2 linked regions of the Anolis sagrei genome follow. The protein of the gene in region 1 interacts with the protein of each later gene in a biochemical or structural test. Links are inferred from orthologs where the notes say so. Each region holds a gene or a part of one and is shown on either strand. Other genes may lie near its edges. The genes, in order: NR4A3 and SIX3.

Region 1 (8,087 bases):
ACCCACTGTTATTGTGATTGTATTTATTGGAATGTTTTTTCTATGTAATTTTGATGTTGTTGTTTGTTGTTTATGTTTTTGGTTTTATTCTGCTGTAATTATGTTGTCCGGGCTTGGCCCCATGTAAGCCGCTCCGAGTCCCCATTGGGGAGATGATGGTGGGGTATAAATAAAATTTATTATTATTATTATTATTATTATTATTATTATTATTATTATTATCTTACATTCATCACATCTGTTCTCGGTCCCACCCTCTTCATAAGCAGGACTGGTGGGGATGAGAGACAGGGCCTTCTCAGTGGCGGCCCCTCGACTATAGAACTCCCTCTCCAATTATATCAGATTGGTTCTTACCTACAAAGCCCTAAGCGTGACCGCATCTCCATATACAAACCCACACGATCTCTTCGATCATCTGGAGAGGCCCTACTCAAGATCCCACCTGTGTCACAAGCGCAATTGTTTGGGATGAGGGACAGGGCCTTCTCTGTGGTGGCCCCTCAACTCTGGAACTCTCTCCCCAAGGACATCAGACAAGCCCCAACGTTGGCAGTCTTTAGGAAGAACTTGATGAGATGGTTGTTCCAGTGTGCCTTCCCAGAATAGGAAACTCTTAGCATCATGTCCCCAATGCACTTTATTAGAGTTTAAGATATCTCCAAAAACCTATCCTTTTCACCTATCATGTGCAGCATTTTTAAAATTTTTAATCATTACATTTGGCCCGGCCTTAGTTTTTAAATGCATTGTGGTGTTATTGTCTAATGTTTACTGTTATTGCTTTAATGTTTATTGCTTTGTTTTATGAGTTTATTTATTGTTGTAGTTGTTATTCTGTTGTTTTATTGATGTGTTGGGCCTTGACCTCTTGTAAGCCTCACCGAGTCCTTTGGGAGATGTTAGCGGGGTATAAATAAAGGATTATTATTATTATTATTATTATTATTATTATTATTGGCCCCCTCCTTCCTGGTGTTCAGGAAAAAAGTCAAGGTCAAAGCCAGCACTTTGAATTGAGTTCAGAAGTGGACCACCAGTGGAGCTGACACAACAAGGGGGCGTTTTGGTTTTTTTGTTTGTTTGTTTGTTTTTTGTCGTGTCGGGAGCGACTTGAGAAACTGCAAGTCCCTTCTGGTGTGAGAGAATTGGACGTTGCCCAGGGACGCCCGGATGATTTGATGTGGGAGGCTTCTTTCATGTATTGTCAAAGGCTTTCATAGCCGGAATCACTGGGTTGTTGTAGGTTTTTTCAGGCTGTATGGCCATGGTCTAGAGGCATTCCCTCCTGACGTTTCGCCTGCATCTATGGCAAGCATCCTCAGAGGTAGTGAGGTCTGTTGGAACTAGGAAAAAGGGGTTTATATATCTGTGGAATGACCATGGTAAGACAAAGGACTCTTGTCTGCTGGAGCTAGGTGTGAATGTTTCAACTGACCACCTTGATTAGCATTTGATTGCCTGGCAGTGCCTGGAGCAAACTTTTGTTGAGAGGTAATTAGATGTCCCTGCCTGCTTCCTCTCTGTTGTTGTGCTGTTGTAATTTTAGAGTTTTTTAATACTGGTAGCCAGATTTTGTTCATTTTCATGGTTTTTTCCTTTCTGTTGAAATTGTCCACATGCTTGTGTATTTCAGTGGCTTCTCTGTGTAGTCTGACATGGTGGTTGTGAGAGTGGTCCAGCATTTCTGTGTTCTCAAATAATATGCTGTGTCCAGGTTGGTTCATCAGGTGCTCTGCTATGGCTGACTTCTCTGGTTGAAGTAGTCTGCAGTGCCTTTCATGTTCCTGGATTCTTGTTTGGGCAATGCTGCGTTTGGTGGTCCCTATGTAGACTTGTCCACAGCTGCATGGTACATGGTAGACTCCTGCAGAGGTGAGAGGATCCTTCTTGTCCTTTGCTGAACGTAGCATTTGTTGGTTTTTCTTGGTGGGTTTGTAGATTGTTTGTATGTTGTGTTTCCTCATCAGCTTCCCTATGCGGTCAGTGGTTCCCTTGATGTATGGCAGGAACACTTTTCCTCTGGGTGGATCTTCATCTTGACTCTCGTGGCTTGTTCTCGGTCTTGCAGCTCTTCTGATGTCTGAGGTGGAATATCCATTGGCCTGTAGAGCCCAGTTGAGATGGTTCAGTTCATCTTGGAGGAGGTGGGGTTCGCAGATTCTTTTTGCATGGTCTGCCAAGGCTTTAATGATGCTTCTTTTTTGACTTGGGTGATGGTTGGAGTTTTTCTGTAGATATCTATCTGCAGGCCTGTAGCGAGGGGGTGGTTTTAGGGGTTCAAACCCCCCCAAAAAATGTTTCAGATTTTTTTAAAAAATCTGGTTTACTCATGAACTTTAACTGGTTAACCAAATCCCCACGCTAAGTCTATGTGATGCAAAAAATTAAGAGTACCTTTAGAACTGTAAGCACTATCTCAAGCAAATATTGACAATTTATTCACACTGTCATTACTTGCAGCAATAGCAGATGTAGTGAAGCAACCAAGTTGGGTGTGTGTGTGTTGAATGCTCTCATTAAGGAGGCCAGACTTGGTGGAGGTGGTTGACAGGGGTGGAGCTGCAGGCTATGGAAGGTTGCTCTGCCCCCTGCTGTGCTCTTTGCTTCAGCGTGAGCTAGGAGGCAGGTTTCAACCCCCCCCCCCCCCGAAATTTTCAACCCTCCCCGAAATTTTTTTCTGGCTACAGCCCTGTCTATCTGTGTGTGTGGGTTTTCTGTAAACGGTGTGACCCAATTGTTGATCTGGTTTACGGATGACTGTAAAATAATAATAATAATAATAATAATAATAATAATAATAATAATCTTTATTTATACCCCGCCATCTCCCCAAAGGGGTCTCAGGGCGGCTTACTTGATTCAAAGCAGATTATCCGGATTTTATATAGCAGTATAAAAGGTTCCATAGGCCCCTAAGGGTCCATGCAGCTGAATAAAATCCTACATTTTTCTGCTTTGAATTCAGTGTGGACTCAGCTCAGATAACCCAGTTCAAAGCAGATATTGTGGGTTTTTCTGCCTTGATATTCTGGGTTATATGGCTGTGTGGCAAAGCCCATAGTGATCGTTTTTACCCAGTTTGGATCCCTGGGTGCCTTTCTTTCCTCCAAGAGAGGCCAGGTTAAAAAGAAATTATTATTATTATTATTATTATTATTATTATTATTATTTTACAGACACAAAAACACAGTATGTCACAGCAAACGAGATCTATATGCTGGAGTTCGTATCTAGAAAAGGCAGTCTTCCTTCCTTTTCTTTTTCCATAGTGAACTGGATGTTTGGGTGGATGCTGTTAAGATGGTCCAGAAACCTGTTGAGTTCTTCTTCTCCATGGCTCCAAATGGTTCCCAGTTCCAGCAGACCTCACAGCAGAGAGGAAACAACCAGGCACATCTTAACATCTTGTTCAAGGAGCTCCACTGGCTGCCATTTATTTTCCGAGCCCAATTCAAGGTGCAGGTGCTTACCTACAAAGCCCTGAATGGTTTGGGACCACCCTACCTGCGTGACCGCATCTCCATCTACGAACCCACACGCTCACTCCGGTCATCTGGGGAGGCCCTGCTCGTGATCCCACCTACGTCGCAAGCGCGCTTGGTGGGGACGCGGGACAGGGCCTTCTCTGTGGCGGCCCCCCGACTTTGGAATGCCCTTCCAAAAGAGCTTCGTCAGGCCTCTACTCTAGCAGTTTTCAGAAGGAACCTAAAAACATGGCTGTTCCGATGTGCCTTCGCAGATTAGGAATCCCCATCCCAAGTCCTAGATGCACTTTAGCACAACTAATGTTGCTGCACACCGCACTTTAATCCTACGTTCCTCCTGCCATCTCAGCACTTTTAACCCTGTACCCCATTGCGCTGGCCGAACCAGTTTTAATAGTGTCTTGATATATTGTCATTGTGGTTATTTTGCTTAATTGTTTTGATTTGCTTTGTTTATTGTTGTGTTATGTTTTTCTATTGTATTGTGTTTTGAGGCTTCGGCCCGTGTAAGCCACATCGAGTCCTTCGGGAGATGCTAGCGGGGTACAAATAAAGTTAATAATAATAATAATAACACCTCTCAACAAAAGATTTTCCCAGGCTCAGCCAGGCCTTCAAATGCTAATGAGGGTGGTCAGTTGAAACATTCACACCTAGCTCCAGAGAAAAGCTCTTTGCCCCACCCCAGCCATTCCACAGATATATAAACCCTTTGTCCTAATTCCAACAGACCTCACTACCTCTGAGGATGCTTGCCATAGATGCAGGCGAAACGTCAGGAGAAATGCCTCTAGAACATGGCCATATAGCCCGAAAAAACCTACAAGAACTGAGTGATTCCAGCCATGAAAGCCTTCGACAATACAGTGTGGACCACTGTTGCCAGATCAGACTTCCCAAGGTAGGGGTGCAGCTGGTGCACAAGCTTTAATTGTGCAAAAACTCCCCTAAACCTGGGGTTCCAGGCTCAGAGATGAATCCAGGATCACTCCCAAGCTGCCAACCTGCACCTTTCAGAAAGTAAGAGTTCTTTCTGCCTCCTGGAGCAGGCGATCTTCCTGGGAAGCCCGATCCGGTCGAGGGCTTCCCTTCTTCCTTCCCTGGGCTCTTGTTTCCGCGTCCGAGTGCGCGTGCTGGTTGTACAGGCGCGAGACACCCAAGCACACACAAGCACCCTTCCCTCCTTCCTTCCTTCTTTCTTTCCCTGCCTGCCTGCTTTCTCCATTGGCGCACAATCCCCACTCGCACACAATCACACGCCCTCTCTTTCTCTCTCTCCCCAGCTCAGCCCAGACAGCGGCGGCGGCGGGGCGGGCAGGGGGCGGGGGTCAGCCGCGTCAGGCTCCCATGGCGTCACGATTGACGTCTCGCATTCCAGCCGCTGCCTGAGAGGCCGCCGGGGCTCCTCGCATAAATGACGTGCGGCGCGCGGAGGGAGAGAGAGATTGAGCGCGAGCAGGAGCGCGAGCCAGGCAAAGAGAGGCAGCGCAGCCCGGAGCTCCGAGGTGGAAAGCCAGGCTCCCGTCGCGCCGATGCCGCCTCGCTCTGGAGCGACTGAAGGAGAGCACGCTTCCCCGGAGCAGCCGAGGAGGTCCAACTCTATGTAAAGACGGAACCGCCACCGCAGCCGAGTGAGTCGGAGCAGGGACGACTTGGGCAAAGTTTGGGCTGTGAGGGGTCTGGGGTCGCTTCTCTGGGGTCGGATCCGTACTCCCCCCCCTCCCCTAAAAAACCCAGGCATCGCTCGCTTTTCGCCTCCGCTGTTGTCATGGGGACGACGCTCTCCAGAGCCGGATTTTGATGCCTCCTCGTCCAGGGTGAGGCGTGAGCAGTGGGTCCGAATTGGAGAAGGGATCGGGGGCGGGGGGGGGGGGCAACAACAAAGCGGGAGGGGTTGCAGGGTTGCAGGCAACGGCGCCCCCCACACATCAATCCAGCAAGTGGAGCGACGCTCGCAAGTAGCGGCTCCAAACTTTTCAAGAAGGCGGAGATCGGGGAGCTTCTGCTTCCTCCTTCCCTTCCAAGGACTAAGCCTCGGAGGAGAGGAAGCGATAGATAAAGCGGAGAGCAGCCGGCTGCCTTTCCCGATTCACTTGCCCCCCACAACAAGCCTTTCCTCCTTCTTCTTCTCCTTCTTCTCCATCTCGTCCTCCTCCATCTCGTCCTCCTCCTTCTCCTCCTCCTCTTTCATCTTCTTCTCCTTCTTCTACTTCTCCTTCTCCTTCTTCTCCTCTCCTTCATCCTCATCATCTTCATCTCCTCCTTCTCCATCTCCTCCTCCTCCTTCTCCTCCTCCTCCTCTTTCATCTTCATTTCCTCCTCCATCTCGTCCTCCTCCTCCTCTTTCATCTTCTTCTCCTTCTTCTACTTCTCCTTCTCCTCCTCTCCTTCCTTATCATCTTCATCTCCTCCTTCTCTATCTCCTCTTCCTCCTCCTCCTTCTCCTCCTCTTTCATCTTCTTCTCCTTCTTCTACTTCTTCTCCTCCTTCATCTTCTCCTTCTCCTTCTTCTTCCTCATCATCTTCATCTCCTCCTTCTCCATCTCCTCCTCCTCCATCTCGTCCTCCTCCTCCTTCTCCTCCTCCTCCTTCTTCTCCTCTCCTTCTTCTTCCTTATCATCTTCATCTCCTCCTTCTCCATCTCCTCCTCCTCCTTCTCCTACTCCTCCTCTTTCATCTTCTTCTCCTTCTTCTTCTACTTCTTCTTCTTCTCCTCCTTCATTTTCTTCTTCTCCTCCTTCTTCTTCTTCCTCATCATCTTCGTCTCCTCCTTCTCCATCTCCTCCTCCTCCATCTCGTCGTCCTCCTTCTCCTCCTCCTCCTCTTTCATCTTCTTCTTCTACTACTACTTCTCCTTCTTCTCCTCTCTTTCTTCTTCCTCATCATCTTCATCTCCTCCTTCTCCATCTCCTCCTCCTCCTCTTTCATCTTATTCTCCTTCTTTTACTTCTCCTCCATCTTCTCCGCCTCCTTCTTCTTCCTCATCATCTTCATCTCCTCCTCCTCTTTCATCTTCTTCTCCTTCTACTTCTCCTTCTCCTCCTCTCCTTCTTCTTCCTCATCATCTTCATCTCCTCCTTCTCCATCTCCTCCCTCTATCTCGTCCTCCTCCTTCTCCTCCTCCTCCTCTTTTATCTTCTTCTCCTTCTTCTACTTCTCCTTCATCATCTTCATCTCCTCCTTCTCCATCTCCTCCTCTTCCTTCTCCTCCTCCTCCTCTTTTATCTTCTTCTCCTTCTTCTACTGCTCCTTCTCCTACTCCTTCATCTCCTCCTCCTTCTTCTTCCTCATTTTTTGTCGTGTCAAGAGCGACTTGAGAAACTGCAAGTTGCTTCTGGTGTGAGAGAATTGGCCGTCTGCAAGGACGTTGCCCACGGGACGCCCGGATGTTTTGATGTTTTATCATCCTTGTGGGAGGCTTCTCTCATGTCCTCGCATGAGGAGCTGGAGCTGATAGAGGGAGCTCATCCGCGCTCTCCCCAGATTCGAACCTGCGACCTGTCGGACTTCAGTCCTGCCGGCACAGGGGTTTAACCCACTCCGCCCCCTGGGGCTCCTTCTTCCTCATCATCTCCTCCTCCTCCCTCTCCTCCTCCTCCTCCTCCTCCTCTTTTATCTTCTCCTTCTTCTACTTCTCCTTCTTCTCCTCCTTCATCTTGTTCTCCTCCTCCTTCTTCTTCCTCATCATCTTCATCTCCTCCTTCTCCTCCATCTCCTCCTCCTCTTTCGTCTTCTTCTCCTTCTCCTTCTCCTTCTCCTTCATCTCCTCCTCCTCCATCTTCTTCTCCTTCTTCTACTACTTCTCCTCCTCCTCCTCCTTAATCTTCTTCTCCTTCTTTTTCTTCTTCTCCTTCATCTCCTCCTCCTCCATCTTCTTCTTCTACTACTACTTCAAACTACAAGAAAGGCGATTCCATCTGAACATGAGGAAGAACTTCCTGACTGTGAGAGCCGTTCAGCGGTGGAACTCTCTGCCCCGGAGTGTGGTGGAGGCTCCTTCCTTGGAAGCTTTGAAACAGAGGCTAGATGGCCATCTGTCAGGGGTGATCTGAATGCAGTATTCCTGCTTCTTGGCAGGGGGTTGGACTGGATGGCCCATGAGATCTCTTCCAACTCTTTGATTCTATAATTCTATGATTCTATGTACATGTGGCCCACCCACTGTTATTGTGATTGTATGATTCTACTTCTTCTTCATCATCTCCTCCTTCTCCTCCTCTTTCATCTTCTTCTACTTCTTCATCTCCTCCTTCTCCTCTTTCATCTCCTTCTCCTTCTACTACATCTCCTCCTCCACCTCCATCTTCTTCTACTTCTTCTTCATCTCCTCCTCCTCTTTCATCTTCTTCTCCTTCTACTACTTCATCTCCTCCTCCACCTTCTTCCTCATGTTCAGATGGAATCGCCTTTCTTGTAGTTTGAAGTAGTAGTAGTCATTCATCTTCTTCTACTTCTTCTTCATCTCCTCCTTCTCCTCCCCTTTCATCTCCTTCTCCTTCTTCTACTTCTTCATCTCCTTCATATCCTCCTCCACCTCCTTCTTCTATTTCTTCTCCTCCTCCTCCTCTTCCTTCCTTACCAGCAGGTGCTTCTAGCAAT
Region 2 (7,097 bases), on another chromosome or scaffold:
ATTCAAAATATACACTTTTTAACACCAACCAAAGTCCTGTCTAAATATACACAGTCGGGCTGGAAAGACAGCCATGACCCGTACAAATCTCTGTAAACCACACTTCCATGGCCGCAGCAACCACACAAAGGAGTGACCGGCTCAACACGCCGATTAAAATCGCCTTAAAAAGCGACGCACCTCCGGATCAAAATGCAGGCGGGCGGCGGAAGGGAAGGCCGGCGGAGCTACTCCTGGGAGAAGGAGGCTCAGAAAGGTGCTCCTAGGCATACACACACGGCCAGACCTCTCTTACACACTCACGCAAATACACACCACACACACACAGAGAGAGAAACAAAATCAGATCTCTCTCTTACACAGATACATAGACCTGATTTGTGTGTATGTGTGTATATACGCACACACCAGATCCCTCTTACAAACACTATCATCTATCTATCTATCTATCTATCTATCTATCTATCCCTATATGTTTATATACATAACCCTATATATTATATTTATTATATATCATATGTTTATTCCTATATAATATATTTACTCTATACCCATATATATATATATATACACACACACCAGATCCCTCTTACACACACACATATATACATCCCTATATGTTTATATACATATGCCTATATATTATATTTATTATATATCTATGTGTATATTCCTATATAATGTATTTACTCTATACCCATACACACACACACCAGATCCCTCTTTCACACACATTATATGTGTGTGTGTATCCCTATACGTTTATATACATAACCCTATATACTATATTTATTATATATCAATATGTATATTCCTATATAATATATCTACCTATATATATATATACACACACACACACCAGATCTCTCTTACACACACATAAATATAATATATATCCCTATATATTTATATATCCCTATATATTTACTATATATCCACATATCCACACACACACACCAGATCCCTCTTACACACATTATTATAATATATATATCCCTATACACGTATATCCCTATATATTATATTTATTATCTATCTATCCATCCATACATACACACACCAGATCCCTCGTACACACACATAAATATCATCCCTATATATTATATTTACTATATCTATACACACACATCAGATCCCTCTTACACACACATTATTATAATATATGCATATCCCTATATATAATATCCCTATATATTATATTTATCTATCTATCCATACATACACCAGATCTCTCTTACACACACATAAATATCATCCCTATATATTATATTTGCTATATATCCATATATGTATAGATACATAAATACACACACACATACACAAATCTCTCTTATACACACACAAATATATATAAGGCTGTTTGTGCATATGCAAACGCGCAAACACATATACATACACCAAGAGAGTACTTTATACACCTACATCTATATGCCAGTGTGTATAGGAGTGTGCATATATAGTCTAAATAGGTGTGTATTTCCATCCACTTGCTGGATTTTCACAAAATAGGTTTCCTTTAAAAAAAAACATAAATACAAGGAAAGAACTGAGGAAATCTCATCCTGAAGAGGTGAAAGTGACCAGAGGGGATGCATATTATCTCCAGACTCTGGCAGAAGGATAAAACGCACAACAAAAGAGGCAATGAATGGGGTTTATGACAATTGAGGGGAGTGGGAAGAATGGAAAATGGAAGATAATTTTCTGGAAGATCTAAACTATCACCCTGACCCTCTTCCCCAACAAAATTTGCTGAAATGTGCATTTCTTCCCTGATTCTGGGACAGTCCAGGGGTTGTTGTGGTTGGTTTGGAAACGTGGATTCACTCAGAAGCACATCCCACCCAATCCAACCGGGATGAAGTCGGAGAGGTTTCCTTCTTTCCCCTGGAAGGACCCAAACCTGTGCTGTTTTCCCACAACCTGGAGATGGAAGGAAGAGTTTGGCAAAGTTTGGACGCTGAAGGGACCCCCGGTGGAACTTCAGGGGCTGTGGGTGGGGAAGAGGGAGAGGAAACTAACCTGCTTCTCCCCCCTTTCCGACAGGCTCCATCCTTGGGAGGCCTCTCCTGGCCGGGTCAGCGGATGGATGGGCCTAATGATCTCATCTCGCTTTTCTTTCCCCGGCGCTATTAGTGCTCAGATAGGCAGAAACGAAGCGCAACTACGTGCAAATCATGTGCAAATCGTCTCCCTTCGGAGCCCTTTTATCCCACGCGGGGCCACCGTCTTCGCCTGAAACCACACCGCCACCTTCCTCCCCTTCCCCATTTTCCTTTCGAGGGGTGGCTGATTCTTTCCCCCTTTCTTGAAGCAGCAAAAGAGAGAGACCTCCAGAAAGAAGCGAGCCAGGGGCTCCTGAAATAAACAAGAGGAGGAGCATTTTGTGTGCTAAGAAAGGGTTTGGGGGGATGAGGGGTCGGGAGGATAGAAGGTGGAAGTGGGAGAAGAGAGAGGGAAGAGGCGGGTGACTGGGAGGAAAGAGAAGAACTGGAAGAAGAGAGAGAGAAGGTGGCATTACTGGGAGGAAAGAGGATGTAACTGGGAGGAAAGAAAATAACTGGGAGAATCGAAAGGAAAGACGCAAAACTGAGATGACAGAGGGTATAACTGGGTGTAACTGGGAAGAAAGAGAGCATAACTGAGAAGAAAGTATAATTGTAAGGAAAGAGGGTATAACTGGGAGAAAAGAGGTTATGACTGGGAGGAAAGAGAATAACTGGGAGAATCGAAAGGAAAGATGGCATAACTGGGAGGAAAATGGATGTAACTGGGAAGAAAGAGGGAATCACTGAGAGGAAAGAGACTGTAATTGTAAGGAAAGGGGGTATAACTGGAAAAATCAAAAGGAAAGATGGCATAACTGGGAGGAAAGTGGGTGTAACTGGGAAGAAAGAGAGTGTAATTGTAAGGAAAGAAGGTATAATGGAAGGAAAAAGGGTATAACTGGGAGGAAAGAGGGTATAACTGGGAGAAAAGAGGGTATAACTGGGAGGAAAAACAACTGGGAGACTCGAGAGGAAAGAGGATATAACTGGGAGGAAAGAGGGTGTAACTAGGAAGAAACAGAGTATAACTGTAAATAAAGAGGGTATAACTGGGACTAGAGAGGGTATAATGTAATCAAAGAGGGCATAAATGGGAGGAAAGAGATGAATTGGACGAATCGAAGGCAAAACTGGGAAGAAAGAGATTGTAATTGGGAGGAAAGAGGGCATAATTGGGAGGAAAGAGAGTATAATGTAAGGAAAAAGGATATAACTGGGAGGAAAGAGAGTACAATTGTAAGGAAAGAGGGTATAACTGGGAGGAAAAGGGGTATAACTGGGAGGAAAGAGAAGAACTGGGAGAATCGAGAGGAAAGATGGCATAACTGAGAGGAAAGAAGGTGTAACTGGGAAGAAAAAGAGTATAATTGTAAGGAAAGAGGTTATAACTGGGAGGGGAAAGGGCATAACTGGGAGGAAAGAGGGTATAACTGGGAGAATCGGGAGGAAAGAGAGTGTGACTGGTGGGATGAGGAAGAAAGAGGGTTTAGGGGGGCTGTTGTTGATAGAGGAAGAAAGACCGGGCAAAGTGGAAGTGCTAAGCTTGGGAGCTGCAGCGATTAAAGCACACACACACAGAGGGAAGCTTTCCTCCTCCTCCTCCGGCCCTTCCCCTCCTTCTCAGGCTGGCTGCCTCCTTCCTTCCTTCCCTCCTTCTTTCCTTCCTTCCTTCCTTCCTTCCTTCCTTCCTCCCCTCCCCACTCCCCTCCCCTCCGCCTTTTGGGCGAGAGCCCCCTTCCTCTGACGTAGCCCCCGATGATTGGCAGGGCTGACAGTGATTGGCAGCCCGCTGCCATGGCGACGCCCCAACGACGCCCGGCAGGCCAATAGAAAAAGCGAAACAAAATGCTCGGGCGCCCGCACTACGCGGCGGATTGAGGAGAGAGAGAGATATTATGAGGCGGGTGGCGGTTGGCATTAGGGCGACCGCGGCCGAGTCACTGAAAAGCAAGCCCCCTGGTTTGGGTTGGGGTGGGTTTTTTTTTTTGGCTCGGCGGCGGCGGCGGCAGCAGGGGGACTTTTGGGTGTGCGAGAGAGTGAGTGAGTGAGTGAGTGTGCAAGAGACCCAGAGAGAGAAAGAGAGAGAAGGGGGAAAGGAAGACGGCGGCTCGGATGCCTTCCTGGACGCCTGCGTGGGGCTGATCGCGAGTGGGAGCGAGGAAGGGGGGAGCGTGGGTTCGGACGAGGGTCTCTATGCGGCTGCGGATGCGCGTGGGGTGCGTGGGCCCCCTTTCCCTCCCCTCCGCCTCCTCCTCCTCCTTCTCCTCCTGGGCTGCTTCTACTTCCCCGTCCTCCTCCTCCTCCTCTTCCTCCTCCTCCTCTTCGCCTTGATCCCTCTTCCTCTCCTCTTCCTCTCTCCCTTCTTCTTTCTCGCCGTCCCCCCGCTCCCCGTCCGCCCGCCAGGCTGGGTCCCATGGTGTTCCGATCCCCTCTAGAGCTTTATCCGGCCCATTTCTTCCTGCCCAACTTCCCCAGCGAGCCGCACCCGGCCCACCACCACCCGCACCGCTCGCTCCTGCTGGCCAGCGGAGGCGGCGGAGGGGCCACCACCACCGGACCTGGAGGAGGCGGAGGAGGAGGCGGAGGTGGAGGCTCGGGCGGCACTGGAGGCTCCTCCGCCGGCGGCGGCTCCTCGTCGTCGTCCTCGTCGCGCGTGGGGCCCGAAGAGCTGTCCATGTTCCAGCTGCCCACGCTCAACTTCTCCCCGGAGCAAGTGGCCAGCGTCTGCGAGACGCTGGAGGAGACGGGCGACATCGAGCGCCTGGGCCGCTTCCTGTGGTCGCTGCCGGTGGCGCCGGGCGCCTGCGAGGCCATCAACAAGCACGAGTCCATCCTGCGGGCCCGGGCCGTGGTGGCCTTCCACACGGGCAACTTCCGCGACCTCTACCACATCCTGGAGAACCACAAGTTCACCAAGGAGTCGCACGGGAAGCTGCAGGCCATGTGGCTCGAGGCCCACTACCAGGAAGCCGAGAAGCTGAGGGGCCGGCCGCTGGGCCCCGTCGACAAGTACCGCGTCCGCAAGAAGTTCCCGCTCCCGCGCACCATCTGGGACGGCGAGCAGAAGACCCACTGCTTCAAGGAGCGGACTCGCAGCCTCCTGAGGGAGTGGTACCTCCAGGACCCCTACCCCAACCCCAGCAAGAAGAGGGAGCTGGCCCAGGCCACGGGACTCACCCCCACCCAGGTCGGCAACTGGTTCAAGAACCGACGGCAGCGCGACCGGGCCGCCGCCGCCAAAAACAGGTCAGTCCCACGCGAGTGTGTGCAGGGGAGGGCTGTGCGTGGGGTTGGAGGGGAGAGGCCACGGGTAGGGGGCAGGGGACACCCACCACTCTCGCATAGACATCCACCCGTGACCAGTGCGAACCCCCATTACTCACCAGGGAGCAGGAAGGATCCTCAACTCCCACGCGTCCTTTAGGGAGGAGGTTTAATGGGGACCCCTGTTCCCACGCGTGATATGGGACACCCCCCCCCCGAACCCACCCACGTAAAGTCAGGGACCCCCCCCCCCCCAGCTCTCCCACGTTCTTTCAGGAAGGAGTGTGAGGGATCCCCAATTCGCACAAGTCCTTTAGGGAGAAGGTTTGGGGGACCCCCGGCTCCTGCGCGTCCACTCACACGTGAACAAGTCAAAGGTCAGGGACTCCCAGGGACTCTCAGGAGTGAGTGTGAGTGTTGGGGAATCTGAAAACCAACAGTGAGGGCTCCCCAAATCCCAACTCTCGTGCTTCCTAACCCACGCGTGACCACAGACCACCAGACCCACCCACGGAAGTTCAGGGATACCTCCCCCCAACTTTCACGCGTCCTTGCAGGAGGAGGTTTTGGGGGATCCCCAACTCGCATTCCTCCTTCCACGCGTGACCAGGAACCCCCCAAGCCCTGCTCCTCGCCACAGGCCATGAGTTAGGCTGCCCTGCTCGGCTTTCAGAGCCTCTTTCCCTCCCCAGAAATCGCGATGTTGTTAGTGTGGGTCCCCTCTCTAGCAGGGCAGAAACCCCTCCTGGAAAGCCAAAAGAAACCCGAAAGTTGAGTGGGGTTCTTTCCCTCCTTCTAAAGAGACACTTCCTTTAAAAACCCGGAGTTTTGTCTCTCTCCATCCTGCCGAGAGAGGTGTGTTTGCCTTTCCATTCCCCGCTTGGAGTTCTCCATGCTATCCCAGTTGCAAAGTTTTGCCTGCTCGCCAAACTCTCTTATGATCTTAAAATATATTTGGAAACTGGACTCTTTCCACCCGTTCAAATTCCCCCCAATTCTCAGAACACGTGTGTACCTGCGTGTCCGTTTGAGTACCCACAAGAATAAAGCGAGGGATCTAACTAGGGACCCATCACCATAAGAGAGGAGAGAGAAGCAGATAGAGAGAGAGGAGAGAGAGAGAAATCGCCTGAAGCGGAAGCCGTCCTGTTTTCCCTTCCGCGGACAATCCTCGGGCACAAATCGGTCTGTAAATAAATCCTCCCTCCTCGCCGCTTGCATTGGAGTTCCGACTAGTGTTATGATTGGATTTTATGTCTCTGAAATGTCACTTGGCCCTTTCGCTGTGACTTGTCAAAAGGATCACATGAAAGGATGAACCCGGAGCTGGAATAACAAACAATGCAATGCGAGGAGGAGGGAAAAGGAGGGCTGGCTGTGCTTCTTGATCTGCGCCAGGCAAGAAACGCAGAAACTTTTTCCCTCGCCTTCTTCTCAGCTTTCCTCAGTAAATATTCTAAATAAACCCATGGAAAGCTGCCTTCTGAAGGGGGCTGGGAAGACCAGGAAGCGGCTGTTTCTCTATCCTTATTCATTATCAAGCAAACAAACAAATCCCTTTGCTGAGAGGGGGGATCAAGATAAAGAGAAGGCAGAGGAAAGGGCGCCAAAGGAAAGCAAAGAGAGGCAAAGCATTGCAAAAAGTTGCCCGTCCCTCCCCTCCAGAGCCTGGCATTTATTTTTCCTAAGGGTTTCCGCCTTGGTTGAGGGGTAAATAATATCCAGGGCCGGGTGGGAGTAGCGTGAGAGACCAAAAAGCATGTTTTTTGTGGCACGGAGACCCAT

What was found.
Region 2: the proteins of NR4A3 (region 1) and SIX3 form a complex in vitro, tested with the Homo sapiens proteins (3 studies listed by BioGRID). The link is inferred for Anolis sagrei from reciprocal best matches to the Homo sapiens genes NR4A3 and SIX3.

The regions. Positions count from the first base shown.
Region 1 is NC_090026.1:61,209,604-61,217,690, forward strand, and holds the start of NR4A3 (nuclear receptor subfamily 4 group A member 3), read left to right. Parts: upstream 1-4,883; 5' UTR 4,884-5,119; intron 5,120-8,087. UniProt on the Homo sapiens protein: Transcriptional activator that binds to regulatory elements in promoter regions in a cell- and response element (target)-specific manner.
Region 2 is NC_090021.1:28,039,903-28,046,999, reverse strand, and holds the start of SIX3 (homeobox protein SIX3), read left to right. Parts: upstream 1-3,852; 5' UTR 3,853-4,461; coding exon 4,462-5,294; intron 5,295-7,097. UniProt on the Homo sapiens protein: Transcriptional regulator which can act as both a transcriptional repressor and activator by binding a ATTA homeodomain core recognition sequence on these target genes.